2 linked regions of the Oryzias latipes genome follow. The protein of the gene in region 1 purifies or fractionates together with the protein of each later gene. This does not show direct contact. Links are inferred from orthologs where the notes say so. Each region holds a gene or a part of one and is shown in the gene's direction. Other genes may lie near its edges.

What was found.
Region 2: the proteins of protein argonaute-4 (region 1) and tnrc6a purify together in Homo sapiens (co-immunoprecipitation; 4 studies listed by BioGRID and IntAct, with this or other methods). This does not show direct contact. The link is inferred for Oryzias latipes from reciprocal best matches to the Homo sapiens genes AGO4 and TNRC6A.

The regions. Positions count from the first base shown.
Region 1 is NC_019869.2:20,064,791-20,068,401, forward strand, and holds part of protein argonaute-4, read left to right. Parts: intron 1-737; coding exon 738-871; intron 872-953; coding exon 954-1,138; intron 1,139-1,212; coding exon 1,213-1,372; intron 1,373-1,733; coding exon 1,734-1,905; intron 1,906-1,993; coding exon 1,994-2,137; intron 2,138-2,215; coding exon 2,216-2,350; intron 2,351-2,425; coding exon 2,426-2,527; intron 2,528-3,071; coding exon 3,072-3,271; intron 3,272-3,447; coding exon 3,448-3,556; 3' UTR 3,557-3,611.
Region 2 is NC_019866.2:17,691,293-17,695,125, forward strand, and holds the start of tnrc6a (trinucleotide repeat-containing gene 6A protein), read left to right. Parts: upstream 1-917; 5' UTR 918-1,126; intron 1,127-2,477; exon of another isoform or gene 2,478-2,529; intron 2,530-3,833.

The DNA.
Region 1 (3,611 bases):
TATATTACATGTTTGCATAAATATATATTTGTGAATCAGAGCGTGTGTATTTGTGAAACACTTTGTGTGCATTTCTGATTATTGAGACTGAATTAACTCCATAGTTTTCCCTCAGCTTCAAAATTCTAATTTGCGATATTCCATAACATTTTCCGGTTTATTTTTTTTTACTTTTAACATTTCATTTTTATTTCTGGAAATGACTGTTGCTTTTTGAGGGTTTATTTTGTTGTTGAATGTTTTGTTTTTTGGCATTTTGTTTTGAATTGATATCTAAAAAGTCGTTTTCTTTTTCTAGTTTAATTGTCGTTGTCATCTTTTATCAGTTTTTGCGTTAAGTGATTTGTTAATGTGATTTGCACTTCAGTAGTGTTGCTCTAACTAACCGGCAGTTTTTCTCGCTGAATCAACACATCTGTGTTTTTGTTTGTTTTTTTACATTTTTGCTTAAAATAATTTTCTAAACTCCTTTTGTAATTTTATGCTTTCTTCTACTCAAATTGTTCAAACCATTTCAGAATAACCGTTTTAGCTTCTGACGTTTACGCTTCTTTCAGACTCTGAGCTGCAGTTTTCATTTCATTCACGAAACCGAGCTTTCCTCCTCCAAACAAGTCAGCAGTGCTCAGAATAAACTCAGAATGATTCTTTTCTTTATTCTGATTGAAGTTTACTAACATTGCTGAAGGCTCCTCCAGCTGTGGGGTTGACTAAGAGTGCAGGGACTCTCTCCGCAGAATAAAACCGTGGCCACGCCCAATCAAGGCGTGTGGGACATGAGAGGGAAGCAGTTCTATGCTGGAATTGAGATCAAGGTGTGGGCCGTGGCCTGCTTTGCCCCGCAGAAGCAGTGCCGGGAGGACCTGCTCAAGTGAGTAGTCCCTCTGAGCTCTTCAAGTGACGAAGAAGCCCAGGTATGGAGAGGTTTCATCAGACTGATGTTCTCCTTGCAGGAGCTTCACGGACCAGCTGAGGAAGATCTCAAAGGATGCTGGAATGCCCATCCAGGGTCAGCCGTGTTTCTGTAAATATGCCCAGGGAGCTGACAGCGTGGAGCCCATGTTCAAACACCTCAAGATGTCGTACGTGGGTCTCCAGCTGATCGTGGTCATCCTGCCGGGAAAAACCCCTGTCTACGGTACGAGTCAGTCGCCCTGCTCGGGTCCCTCTACCTTCCAGTGATGCTGACCTCTGCGTCCTTTGGATCTGCAGCCGAAGTGAAGCGGGTGGGGGACACCCTCCTTGGCATGGCGACTCAGTGTGTGCAAGTGAAGAATGTGGTGAAGACGTCTCCTCAGACTCTGTCCAACCTCTGCCTGAAGATCAACGCCAAGCTGGGAGGCATCAACAATGTGCTGGTGCCTCATCAGAGGTCAGTTTACTGATACAGGAAGTTCCTACCAACTGCGTTTCTCAGGAAAAAATAATAATGACTTAATCTGCAGCCTGGAGAAGTCTATAGGAATGTGCTTAGGTAGTTGGGTCGTCCATCTTGTTCAGATTTCAGTTAGCTGTATTCCACTGGGTTCATCATTGAGCTCAGTACCTGTGTCATGGTGAAATATTCATTTAGAGAAATCCTCGTTAGCACACGTTAGGAGATGACTTGAAGTTCTTAATGTCCTGGAACATTAAGCCAGTTTGTTTTTAGATCTGAAGTAACAAAAGTAGCCCCAGCATAGACACTTCTACAAATGCAGTTGCCAACATTATCTCTCTTGCGCTCCATTTAGGCCGTCAGTCTTCCAGCAGCCGGTCATCTTCCTCGGTGCCGATGTCACTCATCCTCCTGCCGGGGACGGCAAGAAGCCGTCCATCGCAGCCGTGGTGGGCAGCATGGACGGCCATCCCAGCCGGTACTGTGCGACGGTGCGGGTTCAGACATCTCGGCAGGACATGTCCCAGGTGCCTGTTGGACTGCATGACTTGTGTCAGGGCGAGTGGAAGAGGGGCTGTAGTTTTGGGCAGGGAATGACTGAAATGGTCTCTACAGGAGCAGCTTTTCAGCCAGGAGGTGATCCAGGACCTGACCAACATGGTGCGCGAGCTTCTCATCCAGTTCTACAAGTCCACACGATTCAAGCCCACACGCATCATTTATTATCGCGGCGGCGTTTCCGAGGGACAGATGAAACAGGTGAAGTGCACAGTTGAAGCCGTCCAGAGCGGGACGGGTCCCGAGTCTGGCCGTACTGACGCTCCCGCCGTGTTTCAGGTGGCCTGGCCGGAGCTGATCGCCATAAGGAAGGCGTGCATCAGTTTGGAAGAGGACTACAGGCCTGGCATCACCTACATCGTGGTGCAGAAGCGCCATCACACGCGTCTGTTCTGCTCCGACAAAGCTGAGAGGGTAGGTGGACCCGCCCCCGCCGCGGCACACACTGTACTTCTGTTTAGTCTCACGGGCTTTTGTTTTGCTCTGCAGGTGGGGAAGAGCGGAAATGTTCCAGCCGGCACCACTGTGGACAGCACCATCACGCATCCGTCTGAGTTTGACTTCTACTTGTGCAGCCATGCTGGAATTCAGGTGGGGGGTTAGGGTGCTAACAAAAGCTTTTTTGAGTGGATAAGAGAGTTTAAATGATGCCTTTGCTAAATGTAATTCCTGTTGAAATGACTGTGATTGCTTTGTTGATGTTATTGGTTAACTGTTATCTGAAAAAGCTGTCATTATTTAAAAACTGGGAAAAAAAACATTTAACACTGTCAAATTAGCTTAAAAAACAAAGAAATAACTGTAAGAAGCTTAACTTCATGCTAATAACAACAGAAGTAGTTAATTAAGCTAGCCTAGTGACAACAATATCATGACAAAGCTTAGCACTAAACTTACTACCACCACAAAGCTAGCTTTATGCTCATCTCACCAAAAGTTGCTAAAAAGCTAGACTACTGATCCTAAGATAAATTGCTTTTCTTGCATAAATGTTTAGGAATCTGTTTGAAAGATACTGAAAATAATGAAACTGGTTGAAGTATGTTGAAGATCTGAGTGGACAATTAAGGTGTTGGATATATACAATAATCAGATTTTTTTTTAAAAATAAAATCAAACAATTTCTCATCCTCAGGGAACCAGTCGCCCCTCCCACTACCACGTCCTGTGGGATGATAATTGCTTCACGGCCGACGAGCTGCAGCTCCTCACCTACCAGCTGTGCCACACCTATGTGCGCTGCACGCGCTCAGTCTCCATCCCGGCGCCTGCCTACTACGCCAGGCTGGTTGCTTTTCGCGCTCGCTACCACCTGGTGGACAAAGACCACGACAGGTGAGACTATCGCTCTGTGCGAGAGCACATCAGGTTCCAGAAGAACCACGAGTCTGGGCTATTAGAAGATGTGGAGGCACCATGATGAGTCCAGTTGCATGTGATCAGAAAGCAGAGGAGCCTCTTGAGCGTGAAGTCGGTTCTGACTCGCTGTGTGTCGGCTTCTTTTCTTCCAGCGCCGAGGGGAGCCACGTGTCGGGTCAGAGCAACGGCCGCGACCCGCAGGCTTTGGCAAAGGCGGTTCAGATCCACTACGACACACAGCACACCATGTACTTCGCCTGAGGACCACCCGTCCTCTGATACTCGTCTCTTCCTCGTCTGTCTCTGTCGTCTTTCT
Region 2 (3,833 bases), on another chromosome or scaffold:
CGAGCTTGGAGGAGAAACCACCTGCGGAAGGGTTAGAGGGGCATTTGTTTTTAGTTTTATAGACATATATAAATATATGTATGTATATATATATATAGATAGAGAGAGAGAGAGAGAGAAAGAAAGAGAGAGAGAGAGAGAGAGAGAGAGAGAGAGATAGATAGATAGATAGATAGATAGATAGATAGATAGATAGATAGATAGATAGATAGATAGACAATATATATATATATATATATATATATATATATATATATATATATATATATATATATATATATATATATATATATATATATATATATATATATATATATATATATGTATATGTATATGTATAATTTATTTATTACTATTATTTATTAGTATTTTATTAGTATTTGTATTTATAAGTATTTTTACCTTGTCAATAGTTTTCTAGTTTTGTCCATTTTCAGTTGATTTTACAAATTTATTAAAGGAAAGTTCCTTGTCTTGTTCATCCACAAGTTAAAGTATTTTGCTTTAAATGTGTAATTTCATACACAAAATGTGCATTTATTTGTCACAATTGTCGTACTTGCCATCAAACTTTAACTATGTAGAAATACCAAAGTATGTTTTAGATGGGGAGTGACACACTTTCAAAATTCTATAATTTGAGACAAATTTAAAACGGACAGCATTTCCTATGTGTTTCAAATCTTACATCAAATTTTTTTCTTAAATTTTAATAAATTTATAAATCGTCAAACAATATACTTTTGTTTATGTTTGTCTGATGAAAGCAGAATTTAATGCGACTGAATAGCTTTTCTATAATATATTGTTTTTCTTGTTTGTTTGTTTTTACAGCGTTTTGTCTTCTCAGTCAGAGGAAGTGGTTATGCGTTTCCGCCCCCGCCTCCTTCCCCCCTCTTAGAATCACACACGTACACAGCCTGAGCCAGTGTAAACCTTATTAATGTCTACGGAGTGAACGCAGAGAGGAGGGGAGCGTAGAGCACAAACGAAAGCGGCGAGCCAAGAAAATGGCGATCGTGCAGAGGATGAATGCCCCCACTCGTAGATGCTGCAAACGCATTGCATTTCTTTAGCCTTACTTAGTTTATTTTCCACTCTCTGTTGCACTTTATATTTCAATGAGGTAAGTTTTGTTTTAATTTTTATTTATTTTTTATTTATGTTCTTGTGTTAAGCTATGCAGGCAAGGAGCTGGAGGAAAGACCAGAGGTCGGTAGATAAGTTGACCAGCCGCTGTTGTTTAGTTAGCTATGACGGAGCTAATATTGTTAAGTACTACTATGCTATCCTTTCCTATCCTATCAGGTTGCGTTTAGAAAGGCGGTTTGGTTTTATAGTTTTGCTAAAGATGCAACTCTCGTTTGTTTTTTCCTAAACGCAAATGAAAAATAAAGCCATTTTAAATGTGTTAACAAGGCGGTTTAACCTTGTCCTTTCGCTTAACTATTCTAGATTGGTCGCTGTATGTTTGTAGCTAGGAAAATGCGTATTTTGTTAACTAATTGTCTTAAATGTATTTTTTTTTTACTTTGTCTAGACTATCATTGTTCTCTGTAAACAACTTACCAATATCGCTAAATTAGAGGAAAAATACCTCGTAGTTGCTATTAGCATTAGCTTAGCAACATGCTAATTTGACGACGCAGGTTCGTCGGTGGGAACAGGTAATACTGTGCACAAATTGCATTAAGAACACTGTTTTACTACTATCACTTCGCATATAAATTAAAAATGTCATGAATTAATTTCAAATCTATATTGAAATTAACCTGCGGAGTTGTTAGATAAAAGCCCCCTATGGTATAAAGCGGTACGACAGCAATACCCCTAAACCCCTAATCTGGTCTGGGTTTTTTTGTAGTCAAATCCACATTACTTTTCGTCCTGATCTTACAACACCGAGGTGGACATCAGAGTTTAGATGAATATGCATCGGTGGTAAATTTACTTATCACTCGAGGTTCTTAGATTTGATTGCAAACCTACAGCTGGAGAGAGAAGCCATGTTGGTTAAGCTGCAAGTCGGGCAACAGCTGAGATAATGGCCGTTCAGGACCCGACTTGTAACTTTGACCTACACAGACTCTCACTGTCCCCTGCTGTCACTTTACACGCACTTGGTTTCCCTTCACTTTGACGAGCTGTAAGAAACCTCTGTACCACGTTAAGGCAGTGTAAACGTGCATTTCACCACAGTTCACTTTGAGTGTATGTACTGAACTTGCATAATACTTCATGCTAGTGTCTATGCGTGCAGGATAATTTGGATGTTTGCCCTGAATGTGATTTTAGGAATGTTTCAAAGTTTGCAGGTCATATTACAAGTTAATGCCTCTGGGAACTTGTACTATGGTGTTCACTAGAATCATTTTCTTGCACAATCGGGTACTTTCTGCAGGAAAATGTTCTGGTTACACTTAACTTTATTCATTTATCTTTGGGAATAAACTATTTCCTTTCTCTTTTTGCTAAAGAGATTTGGAATTGGAAACTGTTGCCACCAAAGAAACTAAAGCGTCTTAACGGGTGAGTGAAACTCTTTTAAACCCAGGAAACTGTTGGTGATGCTGAAATGGTTTAATGCAGTTAATGATGATTGGTGACATATATAAACAAATTTATGTTCAAAACTGCATTTCTGACTTTTTCTTGACTAATGGTTAATCAGGAGCAGAGGGGGAAAATGCAGTTTGAAATGGATTGTATTTGTGATGTAGAAAAAACGTTGGCAAGCCATTCTTATGCAACCACTTGTAGACGACCAGATCCATGTCTGTCTTTGTTTTCCTCGTCTGAGCTGGCATCTGGGTCAACTGTACAGCTGGATAGCTTCAAATTTTGCTCGCCATTTTTGTTGCACCGCTAATGTTAGGTTGGGGTTGTAAGGGGCTGTAAACTTGTGGGAAAGCATGTAAACAGATGTATGATGGGAAGTGGGGGCGGACTTACTCCACACAAACAGTCCTGTCCACAACTCGGAGGTGAATTTCTAATGAACTGCTGCTGCTCTCACTGGTGTTTGATTTTGGCTAAAAATCATAATTAAATCATTATCATAATTAAAACATCACTGGATGCTTTTAAAATAGATCCAAAGATGATTTGAGTGGGTCTTTCTTTGGGGTGTTTTGTCACAAATGTTTAATAGGTTTAACCATACCCCATCTGATTTGTTGAATTATCAGTGTAAACCAAAGTGAAAGCAATACATTTTCTGAATCCCAGTATATGATGTCATGGCTGTCTGAGTGATGTTCTGTCAGCGTTGTGAGTTTGGGAAGCCGCTGGGAGGGGCGGGGGCTTGGGATGAGCTGCGCCTGCTTATGCTAGCACATGCAGTTCCGTTTGAATTGAATTGGGGGGTCTGGGTTGGTCAGGTCACATTGTGCTGAATTGTAGCCTTTCCCCCCATTTCTAAATGAGAAGCCAGCGTCCTGATGTGTTGTGCACAGGGAGGTGTTTGTACTGCTCATTGTGTTTAGACAATCATTGCACATGTAAGCACACAATAGGACTATGTCTCATGACTACTTTGTATACTCAAACGGTTCAGTTATGACCACTATTGCTGGTTTCAGTAACCAGTTATTTAGTGTTAGATCTGCTTGGTCAATTCTCTTATCTGGAGTAGGAAAATTACCCGAATTTTTATTTTGTGAAGAAAACAATCCTGTTAAGTCAACTCATGGTGTTTACCAATATACTCTATTATGGTGGTTTGCTTTTATTTTCCTGGAACTTATGTTGCTGCTTAAAATGCACTATATTACCCAAAGTATTCGCTCACCTGCCTTGACTTTCATATGAACTGAAGTGTCATCCCATTCCTA